2 linked regions of the Macaca mulatta genome follow. The protein of the gene in region 2 binds, or shares a complex with, the protein of the main gene of each other region. Links are inferred from orthologs where the notes say so. Each region holds a gene or a part of one and is shown on either strand. Other genes may lie near its edges.

Region 1 (7,296 bases), on a different chromosome or scaffold from region 2:
TACAAAAAATTAGCCAGGCGTGGTGGTGGGTGACTATAGTCCCAGCTACTCGGGAGGCTGAGGCCGGAGAATGGTGTGAACCCGGGAAGTGGAGCTTGCAGTGAGCTGAGATCCGGCCACTGCACTCCAGCCTGGGCGACAGAGCGAGACTCCGTCTCAAAAAAAAAAAAAAAAAAATTCCAACCTAGTTTGGCTGCTGCCCTGGGGAGTGAAGGGAGTCTGCCCAGCCCCCGCCCACATTCAGCAGCCTTCTTCCCACCCTCACGCATGCCAGGCCAAGTTCCTGAAACTCCTCCCCACCAAGGGAATTGCTACCAGCAATTTCTGAAATGTCACCTCGGCCCTGAAGCCTTCCTGGGTTGAATGAGGAGGCTGAGCTGTGAGTCTGCCCCATCAGCCTTGCAAGCACAGGCTCGGGTTCCACGGAGCCTCAAGGACTGGCCTCCAGGGTCACTCATGCCCCATTATCCCTGGGGCTGGGGCCACCCCAGAGCCTGGATCTGGCTGGGGCCTCAGATGTGGAATGAAGGAGCAATACCTAAACCACCAGGGCCTCCACAAGAGGGTCCCAGCCATCTTCCTGCTTCTTAGGAACAGACTTCCTCTCAGAGCCAGGCCTCCAGAACCGGGGGCCCAGGGTGCCCCTGGGATTGTTGGATCCATCTGGTGCTCCAGGTGCCTCAGACACCCAGGTGACACGAAGTACCAGTCACCACCTGCTCTCCAACCCAGTTAAAGAGCCCAGACACAGGCCAGGCGCGGTGGCTCACGCCTGTAATTCCAGCATTTTAGGAGGCCGAGGCAGGAGGACTGCTTGAGGCCAGGAGTTCGAGACCAGCCTGGCCAACATGGCAAAACCCTATCTCTACCAAACAAACAAACAAACAAACAAACAAACAAACAAATTAGGCTGGGAGCAGTGGCTCACACACCTGGAATCCCAGCACTTTGGGAGTCTGAGGCAGGTGGATCACTTGAGGTTAGGAGTTCGAGACCAACCTGGCCAATATGATGAAACCCCATCTCTACTAAAAACACAAAAATTAGCCAGGGGTGGTGGTGCACGCCTGAAATCCCAGCGACTTGGGAGACTGAGGCAGGAGAATGAGAATCAGTTGAACCGGGAGTTGGAGGTTGCAGTGAGCAAAGATCATGCCACTGCATGGCAGCTTAGGTGACATCAAGAGATTCTCTTAAAAAAAAAAAAAAAAAAAAAAAGGCCGGGCGCGGTGGCTCAAGCCTGTAATCCCAGCACTTTGGGAGGCCGAGGCGGGTGGATCACAAGGTCAGGAGATCGAGACCATCCTGGCTAACATGGTGAAACCCCGTCTCTACTAAAAATATAAAAAACTAGCCGGGCGTGGTGGCGGGCGCCTGTAGTCCCAGCTACTCGGAGGCTGAGGCGGGAGAATAGCATGAACCCGGGAGGCGGAGCTTGCAGTGAGCCGAGATCGTGCCACTGCACTCCAGCCTGGGCCACACAGCAAGACTCCGTCTCAAAAAAAAAAAAAAAAAAAAAAAAATTAGCGGGCATGGTGGCATGGACCCGTAATCCTAGCTACTCGAGAGGCTGAGGTGCGAGGATTGCTTGAGTCCCGGAGGCAGAGGCTGCAGTGAGTTGAGATTGAGCCACTGTACTCCAGCCTGGGTGACACAGCGGGACCTTATCACAAAATAAAAAAGAAAAAAGAGCTCAGACACCCCAGTCCTCCCAGGGCATCAGACGGGCTGAGACTCAAAAAGGAGAATATGTCTGTTTTTCTTTTTTTTTGAGACAGGGTCTCACTCTGGCCTAGGATGGAGTGTATCACTGCAGCTTCCAACTCCTGGCCTCAAGCGATCCTCCCGCCTCAGCCTCCCAGTGTTGGGATTACAGGCGTGAGCCACCACGCCTGATTCCTGTCCTCTGTTGCAATTAGGCAGGCAGTGCCAAGGATGCACAGAGGCACCTCCTCCCTCCCCCAAGCCCCACCCAGGATGGAGACCCCCACCCAGGTCTTGCAGGACAGTGGGTCCAAGCACGCCCCAACTCGCCCACCTGCCAGGCCTGTGAGGAGAGGCTCTCTGGGTGGCCGCTGGGTGAGGACCTGTTCAAGGTCAGGGGAACCCACTAGTGGGACAGATCATGAGAGTTTGGAAGGAGCTTCTGTGGAGGCCTCAGAGACCCCCAGACCATGTGGCTTCCCTCACATGGCCAGTAGGTGGGGCCTGCTCAAGTCTACCCCAGCACCCACAGGCCTGGCGTTCAGAGGTGGCCTGGGACTGTCTGATGTCCTGCTGACCGGGTCTGCACCAGCCGAGAGCCAGTGCACAGGACAGTGTTCTGAGGAAAGCAGAACGTGCTGGTCACCCCAGTCCCCATCAATACTGGAGTGGCTCCTTGTCACCCAGCTGGGCCACAGCAGGAACAGGAGATCCCAGAGCAGCCGCATCAGCAAAGCAGCATAGCGCCCTCAAGGGTGTGCCATGGGGTCATGGGGTCCGGGCAGCCCCCCGTCTCCTGACACCTCCTGTTCCACCCTGTGGCCACAGCCCTGGGAAGCGGGGACAAGCACAGCGGCCGGGTGTGACCCATATCCCCAGCTCCAGTTTGCAAGGCATCAGTCTCCCTGGCTGTGAAATGAGAACAACCCCTCACAGCATCCCCGCTCCATGGCGCTACCCGACAGAGGAGGCGAGTCACTGAGGTCATGGACCAATTCTGAGAAGGCACAGGTGCGGCCCTGTGCCCAGCAGCACCGGGCAGGGGGAGGGCCGAGAACAGCTCTGTGGTGGGCCAGGCACACCTGCACCCACTGGGAGGGGAGGGCCACTGAAGGGCCCAGCAGGCCAGGGAAGTGCCCTCTTTCTTCCTCCTGCCAGGCTGGGAGGCCCAGAGGGCAGCTGGAGAGGGGCTCTGAGTCCAGAGAAGCTGCTCCCAGGCTGTGTGGCCAGGAATCAGAGGTTCAGAGACAAGCCCAGCTCCCCTCCCCGTGGGCCATAGCAACCCCAGGCCAGGCCCTTTCCCACTGACTCTCCAGGGGAGCATTCCTGAACAGGAGGAAATAAAGATCTGGGGTCAGAGATTCTCGTGCGAGCCAGCCCAGGGGGCCGCCCCCACCACACCATTGCACTGGCCCTGCAGCCGCCCTGCCTCAGGAGACCACGGAAAGGCCGTGGGTCCTGCCTGTCTTTCCAGAAAAGCCTGTCACTATCTCCCCTCTGGGACACCCCAGCTCCTGGTGTGGACTCTCGGGCCAAACTGTGGCTGGACAGCAGCCACCACGACCTGGGGCTGGCAGAGACCCCTCCATCCCAGAGAGAATCAGATCCTATTTCCGGGGTGTCCAGAGACTGCATGCTGAACCAGGGCCTTGGGGGCAAATGCAGGGTCTTCCCCCGCTCTCTCCCTGGGGACCTCAGCCATCCTTGGTGAGTTTAGGTTTGTTCCAAGGGGCTCAGGCTATTGGCCCCCAGATTCCTGGTGTGCCTGGGGTGGCAGGACTGCCCTGGCAGGGCCCTCTCCCCACAGCGCAGCCGGCCTGGGGCTGACAGCTCCGAAGCAGGGCAGGGCTGGTCTGGGCACTGGGCCCCGTTCACAGCCAATGGCAGGACCAGTGGCCTGGAAGGGAGGGACTCCGCGCCTTTGGACTCCTGTGCCTTGAAATCCCACAGACCTAGGAACCGAGTCAGGGATGCCCGGCCGGGAGAACGAACGGGCGGGCGGCAGGTGGACGAGGACCTGCGTCCGGCCCCACCTCTTCCAGGCCTCACCTGTCCTGGCACCCGCCCCGGAGCAGCCAGGTGCAGGGAGCCGCGGGAGGGGCGCCGCTCACACCCAGGGACCCCCGGTGTGGGGAGGGAGTGAGGCATGACGTCACCGCGAGGTGGCCCCGGAGCCGGGGGACCCCACAGTCCAGCAGAGCCCTCCAGCCGGCGGCCCGTTCCCTCCCTGCAGCCAGCCCCGATTTCCTCTTTCTGTGCGGAGCCCGAGCTTTCGCAACGCGGCGGGCGGTCCGCGGTGACCGTCAGACACGCAGCCCGGAGGGGGAGGGGAGGCGGCGGCAGGGGGATTTCCGGGGGTCCTGGGGGCGCCTCCCGCTCCGCCCGGCCCGGGGAGACGTCCGGGTCCCGCAGGTGCAGCCGGGCCCGGGCCCCATCCGAGCGCCGGCCGGGTGTTCAGCACCGCCACCCCCGCGGCGTCCGCGGTCCCCCGCCCAGTCCCTGGGGCCCACCCAGGACCCACCCGGCACCCCGCGCCCACCCGGGACCCACCCGGCCCCGCGCCCACCCGGCCCACACCTACCCGGGGCGCCGCAGTCCGCGCAGCGCGCGTTCCCCGGCCGCTGCAGCAGCTCCAGGACCGCCCTGCGCCGCTCCTTGGCCATGGCCGCGATGCGCCCGCGATGCCGATGCCGGGGCCGGGGCCGGGAGCGTCCGCCGGCTCGCTAGGGCCCCGCGCAGGCCGCCCGCCGCCGCCGCCCCTGCGCCATGCCGGGCGGCCTCAGCCCGCGCGCCGGTTCCGCATTCCCGCCGCCCTCAGGGCTCCGCAGCCGCCGCTCGTGTCTCCGCCGCGGTCGCTGAGCGAGTGCCGGCGCGGGGCCCGGGGCGCACGCTGCGCTCTGGCCGGCAAGGCCCGCGGGCGGCCCCCAGCGGTGCAGGCGAGCGTGTGGCCTCCTCCCTCGGCCGCTCCGGCGCCCCCAGCCCGCGCGCCCCGGGGACCCACCGGGAAGTAGCCCGCTGCCCGCCCCTCATCCGCGCGCAGCATCCCACCTGCCTGGGCGAGAGGCCGCCCCAAAACCTGGCCGGACTGGATGGGACCCTCGTGCCGCCACGCGCGCTGGGACGGAACCTGCACACCTACTGTGGGGGGTGCAGAGGGCACCTGCCGAGCCCCCCAAGACCATGGGCACGGGGGTGCTCATGCAAGGCAGGCGTGTGTGTTCTGCGCTAGGGACCAGGGCGCTCACACCATCCCTGCCTGGGAGGGGTGGCCAGCAAGTGACAAACGCCAGCATCCCAGGGCACTGAGGCCGCAGAGGCCCCAGAGGGAGCCTCCCCCTGAGACCCACCCAGCTGCCCACCACCCACAGAGGGGACCCTCTGAGCACTCCTCCCACTCAGGCTGGCTGAGGGGCCCGGCGGGGACTTCACATGGGGGCTGACAGGTAACAAAAAGCCTGGGTTTGATGTCGCCTTCCCCAGACTTGGGTGCCCTTCCTCTGCACACCCCAGCGTCTTTTCAAATTCTTTCCATTTTCTTCTTATATTGTTAGTGCAGTACGCCCGGCTGAAAAAAAACTAGAACATACCAGACTGAAAAAGGAAAGCCTCCCCCCGCTGCCTTCCAGGCAACCACTATTAACAAACAATTCCTCAGCACCTTCCAGAATGAACGGTCTGAGGCCTGTGGCCTTTCATTTATTTAATCATTTATGGAGACAGGGTTTTGGCTAAGGGCTGTAATCTCAGCACTTTGGGAGGCCAGGGCTGGTGGATCGCTTGAGCTCAGCAGTTTGAGACCAACCTGCGCAACATGGCAAGACCCCATCTCTACAAATACAAAATTTAGCCAGGTGTGACGGTGGGGGCCTGGAGTCCCAGTTACTCAGGAGGCGGAGGCAGGAGGATCACTTGAGCCCAGAAGCTGAGGCTGCAGTGAGCTATGATGGTGTCACTGCACTCCAGCCTGGGGAAGAGAGGGGAGACCCTGTCTCTAAAAAAAAAATTTTTTTTTTTTTTTTGTAGAGATGGGGATCTTCCTATGTTGCCAGGCTGGTCTTGAAGTCCTGGGTTCAAGTGATCCTCCTGTCTCAGCCTCCCAAAGTCCTGGGATTACAGGCGTGAGCACTGTGCCCAGACTCTTTCTTTTTGAATGGTTGTATTCTACTCAAAAGTTCGGCTGGGTGTGGTGGCTCATGCCTATAATCCTAGCACTTTGGGAGGTCGAGGCGGGTGGATCACCTGAGGTCAGGAGTTCAAGGCCAGCCTGACCAACATGGCAAAACCTCGTCTCTACTAAATATGAAGAAATTAGCTGAACGTGGTGGCACATGCCTGTAATCCCAGCTGAGGCTGAGGCAGGAGAATCGCATGAACCTGGGAGGTGGAGGTTGCAGCGAGCTGAGATTGTGCCATTGCACTCCAGCCTGGGCAACAAGAGTGAAACTCTGTCTCAAAAAAAAAAAAAAAATTCCAAAAAAAGTTCAACTGGACCATGACTTGTTCACCCAGTCACTGGCGTAGAAGCATTCAGGGCGTTCTGAATGCATCAGAATCACGGTCTACACAGCCTCATCTTTTATTTTTTAATTTTTTTTTTTTTTGAGACGGAGTCTCGCTCTGTCACCCAGGCTGGAGCGCACTGGCCGGATCTCAGCTCACTGCTAGCTCCGCCTCCCGGGTTTACACCATTCTCCTGCCTCAGCCTCCCGAGTAGCTGGGACTACAGGCGCCCGCCACCTTGCCCGGCTAATTTTTTATATTTTTAGTAGAGACGGGGTTTCACCGTGTTAGCCAAGATGGTCTCGATCTCCTGACCTCGTGATCCGCCTGTCTCGGCCTCCCAAAGTGCTGGGATTACAGGCTTGAGCCACCACGCCTGGCCCACAGCCTCATCTTTGTGAGAGTTTCGTGTGGATTTGCACTCAAAGTGGCATCCCTGGGGCAATGGTATGGGATGTGGGACGGCCTCCACTGAGGCCGCACTGACCAGTGTGCCACCAAAGACACCTGTCTCCCTGCTCCAGCCAACGTGGAATGACAGAGCTGCTTAAGCTCTGTCCACCTGAAGCAGAACACAGCAGCCTGTTTTGGTCTGCGTCTCTGGGATCATGAGCCCTGTGGCGTCACATGCCCTTTCCCTGTAACCATTCACACAGGTCTTTCTCCTCCCTCAGATGGGAGCCTTTGGGGTGGGGATAGGTGGCATTTCCATCTCTGGGTCCCTGTGCCAGGCTTGGAATCCACCACACAGCATGAGCTTGGAGAATGTCACCTAATAAAGACAGATGAATGTTAATAACAGCAGCAGCTCTGCACTAGGTATTAGGAGAAATGACCTGACTTGTATTTTCCTTTTTTTTCTTTTTTAGAGACAGGTCTTGGTCTATCGCCCAGGCTGGAGTGCAGTGGCACAATCTCAGCTCACTGCAACCTCTGCTTCCTGGGGTCAGGTGATTCTCCTGTCTCAGCCTCCTGAGTAGCTGGGACCACAAATGGGTGCCACCATGCCCAGCTAATTTTTTTATTTTTTGGTAGAGACGGGGTTTCCCCATGTTGCTCAGGCTGGTCTCGAACTCCTGACTCACATGATCT
Region 2 (6,706 bases):
CTAGATGGAGGCAGTGATCACACCACATTGTTACTGTGCCAAATGCCACTGAGTTGTTCACTTCAAAATAGTAATGTTTGGCCGGGTGCGGTGGCTCACGCCTGTAATCCCAGCACTACGGGAAGCCAAGGCAGACAGATCACAAGGTCAGGAGTTTGAGGCCAGCCTGGCCAACATGGTGAAACCCCATCTCTACTAAAAATACAAAAATTAGCCAGGCATGCTGGTGGGTGCCTGTAGTCCCAGCTACTCTGGAGGCTGAGGCAGAAGAATCGCTTGAACCCAAGAGGAAGAGGTTGCAGTGAGCTGAGATCGCGCCATTGCACTCCAGCCTGGGCGACAGAGTGAGACTCCATCTCAAAAAAAATAATAATAATAAAATAAAATAGTAATGTTCTGTTATGCAAATATCACCCCCCTCCAAAAAAAGGTACGCTCTGAAGTTTTTCCAGCTTATAAGAGCAATGTGGATTTTTTTCAGAGCAGAAGAACTTGAGCAATGTATTTTTAACATAGAAAAAAATTTAGAACTTTTAAAAACCACAAAGTTTAAAAAAAAAAAAAAAAAAGCCCTTATACATTTCCCCAAGGGAGACTTATCTACTGGTTAGCTAATCAATCTAGGTTTACTGGCTTAATTTTTCAACTGTTCCACTTAAAACTTAAGGGAACTTTGAAATACAGGGAAAAATTTAAGGAAACATATTGATGTTTCATTAACATCTTGCCTACAATCATTTTCTAAGAAACAAAATTTAAATAATAAAACAAACATTTGAGAATTCTTACAGTCAAAATGTGTTTTTCTTTTTTTTTAATTGAGACAGAGTCTCTTTCTGTCACCCAGGCTAGGGTGCGTGGCCCAATCTCGGCTCACTGCAAACTCCACCTGGGTTCAAGTGATTCTCCGGTCTCAGCCTCCTGAGCAGCTGGGATTACAGGTGCCTGCCACCATGCCTGGCTGATTTTTGTATTTTTAGTAGAGATGAGGTTTCATCATATTGGCCAGGCTGGTCTCTAACTTCTGACCTCAGGTGATACACCCACCTTGTCCTCCCAAAGTGCTGGGATTACAGGCATGAGCCACCATGCCCAGCCATCCTACAGTCAAAATTAAAGGCCCTCCTACCTTATATTCAGTCAGCCAGTGAATAAATCCAAAAATCCCATCTGTGACCTTTGTAGGTAGTGGCTTTCCTGGGGGAGAATGCTGGACCTGGGACTAAATAGCAATGGGCAATACGGTGCAACTACCATAACTTAGCCCTCTTGCAAAATTGGAAATAAGAAAAAAATTTGCCAGAGGAGAGAGTGTTCACAGAATGGATGGGACATTAAACAAGTTTTCAAATACCAAAAAATAGTCTGCTGCATTAAAGACTACAGATTCAGCCTAACTAAACTAAGGAGAGATGTCAGGTGACATGAGTTACTTCTGGGTGTTGACATGGCTACCCCAAAGCAGAGTCACACCTTTCAACAAACCCCAAAATAGGTTAGAGAAAAGGGCTGCAGTCATGTTTAATGGGGAAAAATTTTTCAGATTTCTGCTTTTTTCAACTCGTACACTGTAAAATGAAAGAGGATCTTGTACTTCTCAGCCTTCAAGAAGAAACTAGGCCCTGAACCTTCTCCTTGTGACTGGCCTTCCTCTTTGGTTTTTGGTGAGTCCTACTGTACCCAGACTTTGCCCTTACAAATACTAGTAAGTTCTAATTAAGTAAAATTTTTCAAAATACACACAGAGTATACAAAAACAATGATCTGTAATGATCACATCATATTGACAATACCTTTCTTAAAATACTAAGAATCACATTTGCCAAATATCTAACCCTGTACAAAATGCTGACCTCAATGCTGTGATGTCATAGGGAAAGAAAGATGTAATCCTTGCTATCAAATTAGAATATCTGCCTGTAATCCCAGCACTTTCAGAGGCCAAGGCAGGTGGATCACTTGAGGTCAGGACTTTGAGACCAGCCTGGCCAACACAGCAAGACCTCATCTCTACTAAAACTACAAAAATTAGTCCGGTGTGGTGGCACACACCTGTAATCTCAGATACTCAGGAGGCTGAGGCAGGAGAATCGCTTGAACCCAGGAGGTGGAGGTTGCAGTGACCCAGGATCACACCATTGCACTGGGTGACAGAGCCAGACTCCATCTCAAACAAACAAATGAACAAACAAAATAGAATATCCAAGATGGATCGATTAAAGCTTTTCTGTATTGACTACTGTAGGATAAACAGAACGCATGGACCTACAAAAAAATTCATCTGAATAGAAAATTCTACCTAATCCATCAGAAATTATGTATGAATGTGATCAAGAGCTAGAAAAGAACCTCAAAAAAAAAAAAAAAAAAAAAGAAGGAAAAAAAACCCAACTGAATGGCAAAGATAGAAGACTGTGATGGGACTTCCCCCTACATTTTATTAAACTTGTTATACCTGAATATATACATGACACCATGACACAACTAATGAACGGTTTCACAGAGTAAGCTATTCAAAGTAGAAAATAACATAAGCAAAATGAACACCTAAATTGTGGGAAAGGGGGTGTAGAGTGGTAGCATAAGGAAGAAAAAAAAGACATTTGGGGAAGATGAATCAGAGAAGACTTCTAAGAAAGAATTTAAACAGATTTGAAGGGAGAAAGTTGAGTGAAATGAACTGTCAGGGCCAGGTGAGATGGAGAGAATATTCCCCTAGCGGATAAAATATATATACACTCAAAGGCAGAGAACGGAAAGGAAGTCAATTCTACCCAAAAGCAAGGAGGACAAAGGATCTGACTTGGGGCAGGCACAGATAGGGATCTGAAGCTTAAATAACACCAGGAAACATCAGGCAATCTTATCCAATGAGATCTTTGTTTTTTTCAAGGAATGGCAACCTCACCTTCCTGTTGGCATCCAGGCTGGAGGCTGGAATCTGTAGGGTAACTTTGTATTCTGTTCTTTTATCCAGCTCCTCAGCAATGTAATTAGCTTCTCTCACCAATAGATTGGCCTTAACAATTTGTTCCCTCAGCCTCATCAGGCTGTTATTCAACGTTGCTTCTCTTAAAAAAATAAAGAAGGGGCAGAGGTAGGGAAGAGATTAACACAAAGCAGCTAGTCAGAAAATCATACAGTGGCAGTACATCATTGCCAAAATGTGAATTGAGCTTTTCCATGGTGGTCTGCACGCAGGGACTGTGTTGCTGACACTGACCCATGCACACACTTGAACCTGAACTACACGATAGGCACTGGTGCACAGCCACACAGCAGGCTGGCTGTAGATAAGGGCAGTGCCCGTGTATGCAGATCACCAGGGGATCTTCATCAACTCAAGATTTTCTCAGCAGGTCTGAGGTGGAGGCCTGAAATCCTACATTTCTATCAATCTCCAGGTGAAAGGGAAGCTGCCTGCCTGCAGACCAAACTTTAAATAATATGAGGTTAGTGAAGTAGTCTGCAACCATGGGATGACGCATTTCAATACAACGCTGATTATCCCGTACAGAGATGACACTTGCAATCTGTACCTCATCAGCACCATGCTTTAACTACCTGAGCTAATCAGTCCAGATAATCAACTTTGTTTTTCTAAAAATCATCTACCCAAGCTTCAGAACCTGAAGCATAATACAATGATAAAGTGTACTCTATATCCAAATCCAAAAGCCATACCAACTGAAAATGGAGCAGCACCTAACATCAACAGTTTTAAATAATGCAATATAAATGGGCAATTTCCCTTTTTAAAAAAAAAATGCAAAGTGGTTCTTGGCTGTAACACTTATCTTTTAACATAATTCTTTTGTAAGCACCATCTCAATGTTTCCATTTGACACTTTCCCTAGGTGTGTTAGAGGTGGCGAGGCCGAGCTATACGTGTAACAAGCCTCTCTGTGCCGCCTACCTCTCCTCAGCCCACTGTCTCAAGCGCTGCTGAGCGCTGGGCGAGTGGAAAGAAAACCTGTCCATGCTCCGGCAGTTCTGCTTCTCAGGAGACAGCCTTCTCCGGAGCTGCTCCAATTCGTGCTCATACATAAGCCTCTGGCGCTCCAGTGCGGATCGTTTTTCTTCTTCATGCTGTTGTTCTAGGCTGTTTAATATGGACTGCATTGGATCTAAACACATTTTTAAAAAAGATAAATGATCGCGAGTTACAACATAACAAACTTCAAATGTGGTTCTATATGGTGATGTTGTTTGTCATCTTAACTATACCACCTAACTAATACTTTAAAGACAATTTGGCATAAACTTAGCTTTCCTGACTTTCAATCACTCAGGTTGTTATCTATTCTCAGACATATCCTCAACCATCTTCCCTGCAGAAAAGGCAGGTCTATTATATGTTCTACACATAACCTAAGACATGGCGAATCCTCCAGAAATACAATCACAAGCCAGTGGCAGGCAAGTCTCTAAAGCAGAGAGATGTGGCCGGGTGCAGTGGCTCATATCGGTAATCCCAGCATTTTGGGAGGCCGAGGTGGGCGGATCACCTGAGGTCATCAGTTTGAGACCAGCCTGGTCAACATGGCGAAATCTTGTCTCTATTGAAAATACAAGTTAGCCAGGCACGGTGGTGTGCAAGCCTGTCATCCCAGCTACTCAGGAGGCTGAGGCAGGAGAATAGAATCACTTGAGCCCAGGAAGTGGAGACTGCAGGGAGCTGAGATCGTGCCACTGCACTCTAGCCTGGGCAACAGAGCGAGACTCTGTCTCAAAAAATTAAAATAAAATAAACCAGAGAGATTCTATCCATGAGAACAAAGTGATCTGACTGTATATTAAGGCAGAACATTTTGATATAAATTAAAGCCAAAGACACAAAATACAGAGAATAGCAACATAAAGATTTTCCTTTTTAACATTTAAAAAGGCCTCAATCATAAACATTTTTAACACTCTATCATCTTTTTTTTTTCAAGAGAGAAGGTCTTGCTACATTGCCCAGGCTGAAGAGCAGTGGTTATTCATGGGCACAACCTCAGCTCACTGCAGCCTGGAAATCCTGGACTCAAGTGATCTTCCCACCTCAGCCTACCGAGTAGGTGGGACTGTAGGCAACAGTCTACCAACCGGAACCAGTGCTTAACAGCACGCCTGACTTGCTCACCATTGCTGCCCAGGGCCTTCATGGTGACCTCCATCTGTGCATATTCGTAATTAAAGTTAATTTCACTGGACACCTCGCTGGAGGAGTCTCCGTCTACATCCAGCTGCTCAGAACTGTTTTCATTCTTCATGGAGGGATCATGGTCCTCATTCTCTCGTTCTGCTTTCTTTTTCTTTTTAGGCAAATTGAGTCTTGGGGGGAAAAAAAGAGTATTATTTTCTGAAGTTAAGACAGGTACTTATTTATGTCATTCATTAAGTAATGGCATCCGCTAGAAGCCAAGTAGATACCATGTAAGTACAAGGCAATTACTGTACTCAGGAAGTTGATAATCTAGTCATAGAAATAAGACACTCAAGTGCCAGCAAAAACTTACAACAGAAAGTGTGACACTAGTCCACACACCTGTGACAAACTCAGAGTTAAAGGAAAGCTGAGGACGATTTCAGAGCAAGGTGATAAAGGAAAGTGCAACAGGAGGAAATCATTTGAACTGTCTTCACGGATACAGAGAAAGCAGGGTAGAGGGAAAGCGTGGGAAAAGATGTGAAAATGGAAACATTCACATTCCCTGGAGAAATGAGTAAAACAACGGGATATTCAAAATTTGTACAGCACACTAGAGCTAAAGCTGGAAAGATCAGCTTCATCCAAACAATGAGGGTTTTGAACACAAAGCAAAGCAGTTTACACGTCATTTAATTTAGGAAGGAAAAAAATACTCCATGCTCTTTGTGCCCATCTACCCTTTTCTCAGTAACCAAAGTATCACTGGCCCATGGCAAACGCTCTCTATTAGCTACAGAAAAGTCAGTCTGACATCTGGAGCACGATGACCAGTGACAGTAACAAGAGACCAGGATGTTCACTTTTTACAATCTCCAGCCTGCCTGCCTTGTCAACGCAACATCAATTTTGTTTGGGAAACCGCATGTACAGCCCCAGGCGAGATACAGTCTTTTGCAGCCCCCTTTGCAACTAGGAAGCAATTTCTAGCAAAGGAGACAGAAGGAGATTGCTGAGGACTCTGGGAAGACTTCTCTGTTTTTTCGGATGAACAGGAGAGTCAGGGCTAGCACAGCTTACGGTTCTCCTTTTTCTTCCTGTACCTGAATGCTGTTTTGACGGCAGTGCAGCATGGCCAACTTCAGGCCATAGAGAGACGCCAAGACAGTGACCAGACTTTAGCCATGACTTTATTTGAGAGGCTTAGCCAACACTAACAACCATGTTCCTTTAGATTTCTGGTTCTGTCAGGGAAATAAATGATCTGTCTAACCCATTACAGTAAAACTGGCCATGACTTAGAGCCGAAAAGAATTTCTAAAAGAAATACCAACCTTATTTTATAGATAAGGAAACTAAAACCAAAACCATGTTTCCATAAAAAAAAAAATTAAAAAGATAAACATGTCAGGAAAACTATTAATGTTTATTAATAAATTCTTACACCACACAGCAAAGGAATCACCTTCCAGTGGGAAATAAAAGGGAAAAACTGTGTAGATGAACTCAGTATTTTTCCACGGTATATTGTTTATATGTCTCTAGGGTTCAGACCATATACAGTGAATGAACACA

Evidence for each region. Proteins that work in one complex are often made in the same cells at the same time.
Region 1: the proteins of KIF13B (region 2) and ADAP1 are in contact, whole or in part, in a crystal structure (PDB 3MDB), measured with the Homo sapiens proteins. The link is inferred for Macaca mulatta from reciprocal best matches to the Homo sapiens genes KIF13B and ADAP1. Residues at the interface, in NP_056069.2 of Homo sapiens: Val451, Asn452, Leu453, Asn454, Ala455, Asp456, Pro457, Leu463, Arg512, Phe514, Asn516, Gly517, Arg531, Leu533, Asn536, Asn537, Phe539; in NP_006860.2 of Homo sapiens: Trp137, Asn143, Gly144, Gln145, Phe146, Leu147, Pro186, Ala187, Lys188, Ile189, Gly190, His191, Pro192, His193, Tyr211, Glu213.

The regions. Positions count from the first base shown.
Region 1 is NC_133408.1:34,896,607-34,903,902, forward strand, and holds the start of ADAP1 (arf-GAP with dual PH domain-containing protein 1), read right to left. Parts: upstream 4,570-7,296; 5' UTR 4,368-4,569; coding exon 4,286-4,367; intron 1-4,285. UniProt on the Homo sapiens protein: GTPase-activating protein for the ADP ribosylation factor family. Binds phosphatidylinositol 3,4,5-trisphosphate (PtdInsP3) and inositol 1,3,4,5-tetrakisphosphate (InsP4). Regulates the incorporation of CD63 and CD9 into multivesicular bodies.
Region 2 is NC_133413.1:30,901,399-30,908,104, forward strand, and holds part of KIF13B (kinesin-like protein KIF13B), read right to left. Parts: intron 5,317-6,706; coding exon 5,126-5,316; intron 4,128-5,125; coding exon 3,917-4,127; intron 3,072-3,916; coding exon 2,909-3,071; intron 1-2,908. UniProt on the Homo sapiens protein: Involved in reorganization of the cortical cytoskeleton. Regulates axon formation by promoting the formation of extra axons. May be functionally important for the intracellular trafficking of MAGUKs and associated protein complexes.